Linked DNA regions of Saccharomyces cerevisiae S288C. Changing the gene in region 1 together with any one later gene gives a genetic interaction. Each region holds a gene or a part of one and is shown in the gene's direction. Other genes may lie near its edges.

What was found.
Region 2: of REG1 (region 1) and RAT1, a mutation in one rescues a mutant of the other (synthetic rescue), as found in Saccharomyces cerevisiae (one study listed by BioGRID).
Region 3: mutations in REG1 (region 1) and BMH2 are lethal when combined (synthetic lethality), as found in Saccharomyces cerevisiae (one study listed by BioGRID).

Annotation. Positions count from the first base shown.
Region 1 is NC_001136.10:497,321-502,543, reverse strand, and holds REG1 (protein phosphatase regulator REG1), read left to right. Parts: upstream 1-1,664; coding exon 1,665-4,709; downstream 4,710-5,223. Other genes in the region: RAD28 (Rad28p), read left to right, coding at 1-791; YDR029W (uncharacterized protein), read right to left, coding at 1,130-1,444. UniProt on the Saccharomyces cerevisiae protein: Involved in RNA processing and negative regulation of glucose repression. Regulates the level of two antigens, P43 and P70. Binds to protein phosphatase type 1. Functions with REG2 and SNF1 protein kinase to regulate growth.
Region 2 is NC_001147.6:418,064-423,187, reverse strand, and holds RAT1 (ssRNA exonuclease RAT1), read left to right. Parts: upstream 1-1,537; coding exon 1,538-4,558; downstream 4,559-5,124. Other genes in the region: phospholipid-translocating ATPase RSB1, read left to right, coding at 1-520. UniProt on the Saccharomyces cerevisiae protein: Possesses 5'->3' exoribonuclease activity. Required for the processing of nuclear mRNA, rRNA and small nucleolar RNA (snoRNA) precursors.
Region 3 is NC_001136.10:651,902-654,994, forward strand, and holds BMH2 (14-3-3 family protein BMH2), read left to right. Parts: upstream 1-1,705; coding exon 1,706-2,527; downstream 2,528-3,093.

The DNA of each region.
Region 1 (5,223 bases):
ATAATAACGTTGTCGACGACAGTTCTTTGCTTGTAGTGGCAAGTGAAGACTACTATCCAAGATTAATTGACCTGAGAACCATGAATTCAGGGGTAACTGCGCTTGGAATGGGAAATCAAACACGAATGCAATCAGAAATTTTATGCTGCAAATTTAACCCCGTCAGGGAACAGATTATTGCTTGTGGTGACATGGAGGGTGGGGTAAAATTATGGGATCTAAGAATGAGGAACAGACTGTATTCAGAATTGAAAAGAAATAAAAATAGGTTCAAGACTATAAATAACGATGATAATGACGATCAAAGCGATGTCTATTTCAGCTCTAACCAATCAAAAGCCCATCTGAGATGTTGCAGTGACATTGTTTGGAATAGTGAGGGTTCAGAGCTATGTTCAGTCGGCATGGATGGAAAACTGAATGTTTGGAGGCCATTTACGGAAATTCTGCAACCAGAAGGTCTAGCTAGTTATTCCCAGTTGGGAACACAAGACCTGAGCCGTATCAAATACAAAAAAAGAGTATCTCGAAGGTTGCTTTGGTTTGACAAGTTTTTACTGTGTATTACTGACAATGGTGAAGTAGAAATATACAATACGGAGGAAAAAAAACTTTGGAACAAGCTCGAATACCCAATGGTTAATCAGGTAAAAAAAAATCAGGCTTCGCATTGTCAGTTTAGTTCCATGATTGTGCAAACAAATATAATGAATTCAGTTGGCCTCAAATTGTTCTTTGGAACTAACAACAACACCGTTAGCGACGGCGGATCCATCTTTGAATGTTCATAAGTAATAAATGCCGTATAGAATATGATAATAGTCTTCGCGGCTCTTATAATTGAACCAATGTAGGTTTGTATTACCCGGAAACGTATATCGCTACACACGAATATACAACTAATAGCTATATACAAATGCTTTCATCTCAGACTTGGCAGGTATATTTTACCAAGCCGCTTCACCTCTTATCCTCCACTTCATGCATACTTTTCAATAGAGAGCATTTCTTACCACCTCACCTTAGTTTCAGCTGTAGCCTCTTTTCTGACATAATATTGGTAAGTCGGGTTAACCAATTCCGGGCCGAAAGCTTTTTTTATTCACTCTATTTTTGTTTGCATTTAAACTCACAGTGGATATTGAAGGAAGGAATCAGCCCTGAGATTGTGTGACAAGCCTTTTGCAAGACAGAACAGGAGAACAAGAAGCCATAAAAGAAGAATAGACAAATATAAATACTTTTGTTTGAATACCCCTATCAGGTCTTTTAAGGAATAAAAAAGGAGAAAACAGGAGAATATACCATATAGGAGACGCGATTTCAAACGAAAGCTTGAGAAAGGGTTATCGCTGAAATTTAAATAGAAAGAGAAAATATCACAACTAGAGTTAGTATTCTTTTTATCGTTCATCAGCTCTATCAAGATATAATATTTGCTCATCTTTATCTCTCTTATTTTTTTAACACCACCTCCTGAAAGAGAACTAATTGGTATACTAGTTTTACGAGGGCTAGCTTTTGGCTGTTATACGTATAACCACACACCTGGTGTTCTGTACGAACGTTGAAAAGTCAAAGCAAGGGGGAAAAGATAATATCCTTGAAGATTATAAATCCTAAAGCAAGCATATTGACGAAGACGAGATAAGAAAAATCCAAAAATGTCAACAAATCTAGCAAATTACTTCGCCGGTAAGAAAGATATTGAAAACGAGCATGTAAATAGAAATGCGAGCCATGAAAGTAATAGCAAAAGTGATGTCAAAATTAGTGGTAACGATAACGACAACGACGAAGATATGGGGCCTTCAGTATCGATGGCTGTTCAAGCGAAAAATGATGATGATTTCCATAAATCAACTTTCAACCTTAAAAGAACAAGATCAATGGGCCTTCTTGATGAATATATTGACCCTACCAAGAAATTGCTAGGAAGGTCAGACGACTTATATGATAACGACAATGAATATTATGACAACTCATCTAATAATTCTTCAAGCAATTCTTCAGATGATGATTATGATGACGGCTATCAGGAACACTCAACCTCCGTTTCTCCACCGCCGGCGGATAATGATAGCTACTTAATTCCACAAGATGATAATGACGTAGTGGTAGAGCCAGAAAGACATGTTGACTATCTGTCACATGAATGGAAAGAATCAGAAATTTCTAATTCTTGGAAATATATCATCCTAAAGAAAAAGAAAAGAGATGTTGATCTAGTAAATGCTGCTAGGTTAGAAAATGCCTCATGGAGAACATGGGCAAAAGCAAGAAACAACTTGAAAACAGTGTCACCTGAAGTGGTTAATTGGTCAAAAGATTCTGATGTGACTTGGCTATATGGCCCTATTGTAAGAGATTCTGAAGGTAATGCCCAAAGTGAAGAAGAACATGATCTAGAAAGAGGATATGGTTCGGATGATGAAAATTCCAAGAGAATTTCAATGCCCACTAAAAATTCAAAGTCGATCGCAGCTGCTCCGAAACCAATTTTGAAGAAGAGAACCGTCACAGAAATTATAGAGGACAACGCTTTATGGAAACTGAATGAGGCAAGAAAACACATGACAGAAATGAAACATGCTTCGGTAATAATGGATCCCAATGGCAACAAAAACGTCCATGACGATTTCGATGCTCTGGCCGCTCAAGTTAACGCCCAGTACTACCATTATCCCAAAGAATCGAACAGTAGCGTTAGTTTGAAGAGTCAACACTCTGACAAAAAAGATAATTCTACCATACCGAATCCTGTAGGAGAAAATTCAAATGGTGGCGGTGACAAGGGAGAAGAAGACCTGCATTTAAAGTCAGCGCTTCATGTTCAAAACAATAGGTCAACGGCACAATCAAACAAAAGCATACTAGAAAATAGTACCAATGATCGTAAGGCTAACTTGGATCAAAACCTAAATTCTCCTGATAATAATAGGTTCCCCTCCTCAACATCTTCCTCCAATAGAGATAATGAAAACAATTCCATGGGATTATCATCAATATTAACCTCAAACCCAAGTGAAAAATCTAACAAACCTACTAAAAATAGACATATACATTTTAATGACAGGGTGGAACAATGTATGGCACTACGATATCCAGCTTCACAATCGGAGGATGATGAAAGCGATGATGAAAATAAACAATATGTTGATGTTAATAACAATGCGAACGTTACAACAATAAACAACAATAGGACTCCATTGCTAGCCATTCAGCATAAATCTATTCCTATCAACTCCGCAACTGAACATTTGAACAAAAATACTAGCGACGATGATACATCCTCACAATCATCATCTTCATCACATTCTGATGATGAAGAACACGGCGGCCTTTACATAAATGCAAGATTTTCCAGGAGGTCTGACTCTGGAGTTCATTCACCAATAACAGATAATTCCTCTGTGGCTTCATCTACTACTTCCAGAGCTCATGTACGTCCCATAATAAAGTTGCTTCCTGATACCACTTTGAATTATGGATCAGACGAAGAATCTGATAATGGCGAATTTAATGGGTATGGTAATGCTGTGTCACATAACGTCAATACCTCCAGAGGCTATGATTACATATACGATTATAACTCGGTCTACACTGGTGATACTTCCAGTTTTTTACCAGTAGATTCATGTGACATTGTAGATGTTCCTGAAGGAATGGACTTACAAACAGCCATTGCAGATGATAATGCATCAAACTATGAATTTAACAATGCGGTAGAATCCAAGGAAAAACATGTTCCACAACTACACAAAGCTTCAGCAAATAATACAACACGTCAACATGGATCGCATATGTTATTATATGACGACGACAATTACAGCTCTTCATCAGATAGCGAACAGCAATTTATTGAAGACTCACAATACAATAGTAGCGACGACGAAGAGGAAGAAGATGACGATGACCAAGAAGTAGACGATAACCACGATGAAGGACTTTCACTGAGGAGAACATTGTCACTTGGGAAATCAGGATCTACCAATTCTTTGTACGATCTAGCACAACCATCACTCTCTTCGGCAACTCCTCAACAAAAAAATCCTACTAATTTTACAGGGGGTAAAACTGATGTAGACAAAGATGCACAACTGGCTGTCAGGCCGTATCCGTTGAAGCGCAATTCCTCTTCAGGGAACTTCATATTCAATTCAGATAGTGAAGAAGAGAGTAGCAGCGAGGAGGAACAAAGACCATTACCCGCTAACAGTCAGCTGGTTAATCGAAGCGTATTGAAAGGCAGTGTGACACCAGCAAACATATCATCTCAGAAGAAAAAAGCCCTTCCAAAGCAGCCAAAAGCGTCCGATAGTTCACAAAGCTTTAGAATTGTAAATAATACTCCTTCACCAGCCGAAGTGGGGGCGAGTGATGTTGCCATAGAGGGTTATTTCTCTCCTAGAAATGAATCTATCAAGTCTGTTGTTTCCGGGGGAAATATGATGGACCATCAAGATCACTCAGAAATGGACACTTTGGCAAAAGGATTTGAAAACTGCCATATAAATAATGCTAGTAAGCTAAAGGACAAGAAAGTTGATAGCGTGCAAACCACTAGAAAAGAAGCGTCTTTGACGGATTCGAGTAATGAAAGCTTACACAAAGTGGTGCAGAATGCAAGAGGTATGGCAAGCAAGTACTTGCACTCTTGGAAAAAGAGTGACGTCAAGCCACAAGAAAATGGAAATGACAGCAGTTAGAAGAAAGAATTTTGAAGTCAACATGAAGAGAAAATAAAAATCCAGGTAGTGTGGATCAGTGCCGTCTTTAGGATCCAAGTAAGCTGTAATCGACTGGCATTGTCAAGGACAAATGTAGACAGCGAAGCAGTTATTTTACGTACACAATTAAATTCGCTCCAGATTTCAAAACTTCTTTATACCTTTACAATATTTGGTACTTATGTACAAGAACTTCTTGAGCTTCCATAGTCGTATGTGTGTTCTATATATTAGCAATTAAACGCAGCTGATCTAAGATATGTTCGTGGGTAATGATTTTCAGATAGAGTACAATCAATGTTTTCTTCGATCTTTAAAGGGTTTTTCCTTTATAAAGAAGACACCACACAACAGTCTAGAAAGTAAACAAAACAAACTACGACACGGCTTGTTTTAGGCACAACTTTGTTTTAGGCAGAGCTTACAGTAATTGGCAGTATTGATATCCTAAAGCAGTATTAAAACAATTTAAAGGTTTGGTGAGGTATCTGGC
Region 2 (5,124 bases), on another chromosome or scaffold:
ACCTATCTCATTGAGCCTCTTAAAGATATCGCAAACAGAAGTTGATTATTTATACAGGGAAAAGTTCCATTTTTTGAGACTCGAACCTAAACGTTGGGTTTTTCATTATTTTAATCTGGCAATAACCGTTGCGGTACTAACCATTTTTACCCGTTGTTGTTACCGTTTGGCTGAATTAGTTGTCGGTTGGGATGGCTATCTGATCACACACGAGTGGTATTTTATTATCTTAGATGCATTAATGATGGCCATCGCTACGGTCACTTTGACCATCTTCCACCCTGGATTTGCGTTTAAAGGTAGAAGCACCTCGATTCCAATCACACCGGGCCATGTTGATCCTGAAACTTTACCACATACTGACGATGTTGAAGATATCTTAGATACTTCGGATTCAAAACAATTTGATATTGAAAAGGAGGAATTCCAAGCAAGCATGAAATACCCGATTAGCACCTTCAAACAATTCATGTCCAAAATAGCTAACTTGTTTTCCTCTAAAAAGAAGGCTAAACTTTAGTGATACGTAGAATTTGAATGTCAATCTGATCGTTCATATGCATTTTTCAATTCTTACTTTTTTTCTCGAAGTTCCCGACTATGTTCTGTTTATTTTTTCTCCTATTCAAAAGAACCGGACAGCATTTTTACTTCCTTATATTTCGACATCGTAATATGTACATTTTTTAGTTCACAAGTATTTTTCCCCTTTCAATGCTTTAATCAGCCTTCAACGTCATACATACTTTCTATTTTGTTCCTGTGCCATCGTATAACTTTCCTCGTTTAGTGTTTTCGCCTCAGCTTAATGTAGATCACTGTTTTGACGTTCTTCCATTTTTGGGAACGAACTAAACTAAAAAAAAGAAAACTACAGAGTTTCCCATAGAGAACAGAAAATCCGCTATCGGCAGCTTATAGGGTCATATAATTATGGCGCACATAAGGAAAATAAATTTATTTGAATCAATCAACAGACCTATCTGTTGATATATGAAAGAGAGCAGGAGCGTTAGTTTACCTCCATAAACAGTAAAATTAAAGCAAAAAAGCGTAACTGCTGATTGAAGCCTATATCACCGGGCTAAAATCTTATATCGGTTAAGAAAGTGATTAATTTATAGATATGTTCACGAAATCTTTTCTATTCAAAGATTCACGAATTTTACTCGATTTTTATAGTATACTGAAACAAGTAGTTGTAAAATCAATTCACCAAAAAAGCTTTCCCCATCTCTGATGAAAAACTACGAAAAGTTTACTATCACATAATATCGGAAGTACGTTTTTAAGGCACTGCAATGTATTTTATAATCTTGAACATTTGGAGGTATATTACCTTACTTTCTCATCAGGTTGTATATTTGAGCGTCTCGGGAATGATAAGTCGGGTAACGAGAGTATCTAGATAAGATTTTCAGCTATGGCAATAAAAAACCAAACCTCATCGATGAACCTATTACAACATAAAGACATCCCGTAATAATTAGTGAGACAGGTTCTTCAAGGAAGTGCTACAGCCAAGTTTCGTAATATAATGGGTGTTCCGTCATTTTTCAGATGGCTATCTCGAAAATATCCAAAGATCATATCCCCAGTATTGGAAGAGCAACCTCAGATAGTCGACGGTGTCATATTGCCGTTGGATTATTCCGCCTCAAATCCAAACGGTGAGTTAGACAACTTGTATTTGGATATGAATGGTATTGTTCATCCATGTTCGCACCCAGAAAACAAACCGCCTCCAGAGACTGAAGATGAAATGCTTTTGGCAGTTTTTGAATATACCAATCGTGTGTTAAATATGGCTAGACCACGCAAGGTACTTGTTATGGCTGTTGATGGTGTTGCTCCTCGTGCCAAAATGAACCAGCAGAGAGCGCGTAGATTTAGGAGTGCTAGGGATGCTCAGATTGAAAACGAAGCCAGGGAAGAAATTATGAGACAGCGAGAAGAAGTTGGTGAGATAATCGATGATGCCGTCAGGAACAAGAAAACTTGGGATTCAAATGCGATCACTCCAGGCACCCCATTTATGGATAAGCTTGCCGCGGCCCTCCGTTATTGGACAGCATTTAAACTGGCCACTGACCCTGGTTGGAAAAACCTGCAGGTGATTATCAGTGACGCCACCGTCCCAGGTGAAGGTGAGCACAAAATAATGAATTTCATTAGGTCTCAAAGAGCTGATCCTGAATATAATCCCAACACAACGCACTGTATATACGGTTTGGATGCTGATTTAATTTTTTTGGGCCTTGCCACTCATGAACCACATTTTAAAATTCTAAGAGAAGATGTTTTTGCTCAAGACAATCGGAAAAGAAATAACTTAAAAGATACTATAAATATGACTGAAGAAGAAAAACAATTTCTCCAAAAACAAAATTCCGAACAACCTTTCTTGTGGCTGCACATAAATGTTTTGAGGGAATACTTGTCCGCTGAGTTATGGGTTCCGGGTCTTCCATTTACATTTGATTTAGAAAGGGCTATCGACGATTGGGTTTTCATGTGCTTTTTCTGTGGTAATGACTTTTTACCACATTTACCATGCTTAGATGTCAGAGAAAATAGTATTGATATTCTCTTGGATATTTGGAAGGTAGTACTACCGAAATTGAAAACGTACATGACCTGCGACGGTGTCTTGAACCTCCCTTCTGTTGAAACGCTATTGCAACACCTTGGCTCCCGTGAGGGGGATATCTTCAAAACTAGACATATTCAAGAAGCCAGAAAGAAAGAAGCTTTTGAAAGAAGGAAAGCGCAGAAAAATATGTCAAAAGGTCAAGACAGGCATCCTACAGTAGCTACGGAGCAACTGCAAATGTATGACACACAAGGAAATTTAGCAAAAGGTTCATGGAACTTGACCACCAGTGATATGGTAAGGTTGAAAAAGGAACTGATGCTTGCGAACGAGGGGAACGAAGAAGCAATCGCCAAAGTTAAGCAACAGAGTGATAAGAACAATGAACTGATGAAAGATATCAGCAAGGAAGAAATTGATGATGCTGTTAGTAAGGCTAACAAAACTAATTTTAACCTTGCAGAAGTTATGAAACAGAAAATAATAAATAAGAAACACCGTCTTGAAAAGGATAATGAAGAGGAAGAAATTGCTAAGGATAGCAAAAAAGTTAAGACAGAGAAAGCGGAATCAGAGTGCGATCTCGATGCAGAGATCAAAGATGAGATTGTGGCTGACGTAAACGACAGGGAAAACTCTGAAACTACAGAAGTATCAAGAGATTCACCAGTCCACAGCACAGTGAATGTCAGCGAAGGTCCCAAAAATGGGGTCTTTGATACAGATGAATTTGTCAAACTATTCGAACCTGGTTACCACGAAAGATATTACACAGCTAAATTTCACGTTACTCCTCAAGATATTGAACAGTTAAGAAAAGATATGGTAAAATGCTATATCGAAGGGGTCGCCTGGGTACTAATGTATTACTATCAAGGTTGTGCCTCTTGGAATTGGTTCTATCCGTACCATTATGCTCCTCTGGCAACAGATTTCCATGGGTTTTCTCACTTGGAGATAAAGTTCGAAGAAGGTACTCCATTTTTACCTTACGAACAATTGATGAGTGTTTTACCAGCTGCATCTGGCCATGCTTTGCCAAAAATTTTCCGGTCTTTGATGTCTGAACCTGACTCTGAAATCATTGATTTTTATCCTGAAGAATTTCCCATAGATATGAATGGTAAGAAGATGTCCTGGCAAGGCATAGCGTTGCTACCATTCATCGATCAGGATAGACTGTTAACAGCTGTTCGTGCACAATATCCTTTACTTTCTGATGCTGAGAGGGCAAGAAATATTCGCGGAGAACCTGTTTTATTAATAAGTAACAAGAATGCTAATTATGAGAGGTTTTCGAAGAAATTATACTCAAAGGAAAACAACAACAACAATGTTGTTGTGAAGTTTCAACACTTCAAGAGTGGTTTAAGTGGTATTGTATCAAAGGACGTTGAAGGTTTCGAATTAAATGGGAAAATTGTATGTCCGATTCAAGGTGGGTCACTGCCAAATTTATCTACCACCTTGATTTTAAAGATGTCCTATAGATTAATTCCGTTGCCATCGAGAAATAAGTCTATTATACTGAACGGGTTCATTCCGTCAGAACCGGTACTAACAGCATATGACCTTGATTCCATAATGTACAAGTATAATAACCAAAATTACTCCCGTCGCTGGAACTTTGGTAATGATTTGAAGCAAAATATTGTTCCAGTAGGACCAAAGGGTATTACTCAGTACAAACCAAGAACTGGTGGCTATCGAGCATTCTTTTATTTTGCTGAGCTCAGTAGAAATAATGTCCAACCCGCCCACAACTATGGTAGGAATAGCTACAACAGTCAACCCGGCTTCAACAATAGCAGGTATGATGGTGGAAACAATAATTACAGACAAAATTCAAATTACAGGAACAATAACTATTCCGGAAATAGAAATAGTGGACAGTACAGCGGCAACAGCTACTCTCGGAATAACAAGCAAAGTCGGTATGACAATTCAAGAGCAAATAGGCGTTAGAACTACTCGTGCGCATTTTATTTTATGGTAAATTTAGGTTTTCGCAAATTTATAAAATCTTCATACAATTAAAAAAAAGCTCTTTTAAGATAATAGTGTCTGCTCTTACAAACGACGAACAGTAATATTTTATAACAAAAAATGGAACATATTAAGTTAAGAGAAAATCATGCTGAAGCATGAATATATGAATATACGTCCTCTTGTAAAATAGCGAAATCCTTGTAAGCCAATAGACCGAACTCTATTTTGATTTATACGCTTCGTGTATTTTTTCTTCCAGATCCAGGAGAAAAAGCATGGTCTGTTCTTCTTTTTTGAAAAGAGAGGCAGTCCACGGCGAAAGTTTCGAATACGGCACTACCTTTTTTTTCTAAGTTCCTAAACTTAAAATCAAATTTGGTCTTTGGTCTGTTATCATCCAGGGATGAATGCAACATATTGGGAAGTTCATGCTATACAACGCCAACCCCTTCGCTCAAGTCACGAAAGCACATCTTACACTTCCTCCTTGGCCAATATGCAAGCGTCCTCTTCAAAAAATCTTGCAACAAACAATCGGGTAA
Region 3 (3,093 bases), 150 kb from region 1:
TTTTCAATTGTTGTATAATCTTCTTATACCTCATTTGATAATATAGCAATAATATAAAATAGTACTCTATAGGTTATAGGAGTCTTAATACAATGAGCGCGCCATTATCGTTCTGTAAAGTAAATAGTCATTCACATAACGAGCTAATAAAAATCTCCAGATGGCACACATAGTGTATGGCAACATCAATGAGAAGAATAAGGTCTTCGAGGAATAAATTGTTCTAATCATGACAAAAACTACATAACAGAAGACTGAAAGACTGCATTAAAAAAATATTATTAGCATGAACACTAGTCAAAAAATGACACTAAGATTTCATTCCAACACTACATTTTTTCGGAAAACGTTTTATTGAAGTACTGCTTTATGGTCAGCACGTATCGCTTCATATATGATAACCTTACACAGTATCTTTCCGAAAAATCATGAAACGAAGTAACACAGCATCAATTTCTGTGAGAAATAGACAAAGATGTTTCAAAAGTTCCAACATATAGTGAGCATCGTTCATATACCTCGTACAAATCAAATTTGTCTCTTGGAATACCGAAAATTAGCCGCTCAAACACTCTCCGTTGTTAATGACAATTACACCATAGCCGCTGCCGTAGAAAATGCACGGTCTTCCGTGACGAGAAGATTCGGGGGCGAATCGCATAGATCGCTCTTTCTCCTCTTTCTCAATTCTGTCTTATCTGTATTTATAACATGAGCTCATAAACAAAGTCCCTGTTTATATATATTGATGACTTATATATCTTTCGCTTCAGCTTCTTCCCTCATTTCTACTTAATATTATCTTTTGAAATTAGCGCGATCAATTGCATTCTTTTCCACACCACCTTCAAATTTAAGAATTCATATTTGAATCGAACCGTATGTTTTACCTCTCAATAACTTGTTTCATTAATAGCTCCTTCCACAACCACCTTCATCTTCTCTGATTTGAATTATTACCGACATGAATGTTACTCTCCTGAAAATGTTAATTATATCAACTTAACAGGCCTTGAAAGTGAAGTGTTATAGTTTCTCTTCCTTTGTTTTTCCCACTTTCTTTTTTTTATATATATCTTATATTGGTTTAAGCACAGCGGATTGCTTTCTTCTAATACAAGAACTAGAACATAGGTCCACCCGTGTGATGTTGCATTCTGAAATGTTTAGTTATCTCTGTCAGAACAGCGAGGTAACACTTATTTTTGTTACGACCAATCCGTAATTCAAGCGTGGGTATTCATATGACCAGAGATAATAATACAGCGAATACTATTGAAATCGTCCCTTTTTTGTTTAGGAAGAACGGACAAATCGGTCGTCTGCTCGAAATGATTAGTAGTGTGTCACCCGGATCAGCAAAATGACACACACGAAATACGAGGAAAAAGTCGGTCGAAAGGGGCAAATGTTATTATAAGTCCCTCCAGTAGTCTTTTTTTTTTCAAATATTCATCATCAAAGGTTACGAAATCTTTTGAGCTATCTTAAACATTCGTTCTTTTTATCAAATTTCAATTACTAACTTATTTTTTCAAAAAAAATTGCCTCTCCCGGTTTTTAATCATTATTTTTTTCGATTGATTAAGGGGGAAAAGCAAAGAACGAGAAAACTTGGACAGAAGGTTAATACTCTGACAATTTCAAAACGAAGTAAAAAGAAAAATTATCAAATCAACAAAAAGTACCCGTTACAACAAAAAAAATGTCCCAAACTCGTGAAGATTCTGTTTACCTAGCTAAATTAGCTGAACAAGCCGAACGTTATGAAGAAATGGTCGAAAACATGAAGGCCGTTGCTTCATCAGGTCAAGAGTTATCTGTCGAAGAACGGAATCTATTGTCGGTTGCTTACAAGAACGTCATCGGTGCTCGCCGTGCTTCATGGAGAATAGTTTCTTCGATCGAACAAAAAGAAGAATCAAAGGAGAAATCTGAACATCAAGTTGAATTAATCCGTTCTTACCGTTCTAAAATTGAAACTGAATTGACCAAAATCTCTGACGACATTTTATCTGTGTTAGATTCTCATTTAATCCCTTCTGCTACTACTGGTGAGTCTAAAGTATTTTACTATAAGATGAAGGGTGACTACCACCGTTATTTAGCTGAATTTTCCAGCGGAGATGCAAGAGAAAAGGCAACCAACTCCTCTTTGGAGGCTTATAAAACCGCTTCCGAAATCGCCACAACTGAATTGCCTCCAACTCACCCAATTCGTTTAGGTCTAGCTTTGAATTTCTCCGTCTTCTATTACGAAATTCAAAACTCTCCTGATAAGGCTTGCCACTTGGCCAAACAAGCCTTTGATGATGCTATTGCTGAGTTAGATACTTTATCTGAAGAATCATACAAGGATAGCACTTTGATCATGCAATTATTAAGGGACAACTTGACCTTATGGACCTCTGATATTTCTGAATCTGGTCAAGAAGATCAACAACAACAACAACAACAGCAACAGCAACAGCAACAACAGCAACAACAAGCTCCAGCTGAACAAACTCAAGGTGAACCAACCAAATAAGAGCGCTGAGAAATACAAGGGGAAATGAAGATTTACCACTCCAGTTTTCTTGCTAACGAAAATGAATGCAATTCGATTTTGATACTTTTTTTAGGGGAAGAGATAATATCTTCGTCTAATACAAATTCACAAAATTTTCAATTTTACCAACTACAAAATATACAAACCTCTAAAAAAATAGTTTCTTAATATATAACATAAAATAGTTTTTCTGTTACTATTACTTCTATCACTGTTTTCTTCGTGTATTCTTATATTTTGGCTATCGTTCAGAGTTGAGACAATTTGCGAGAGTAATTGAGTAGTAATTTTCGTATGTTTTAAAATAAGTTCCTTCCATTGTATACGCACCTCTTTCTTCTGTTTTCCTTTGAATCTTGATCTACCTTACCTATTGAAGGTGAAGGCATCTTTTCTCATTTGATGAAACAGCGCTCCCTGGGTGTAGGGGGGCGGGGGTATAGTAGCGTAAATCCGCAACGGAAAAATACTTCGAGTGGAAAACTATGACCATTAATATGTATGTCTTACAAGAGAGGACAATAAACAAAGTCAAATAACCACAA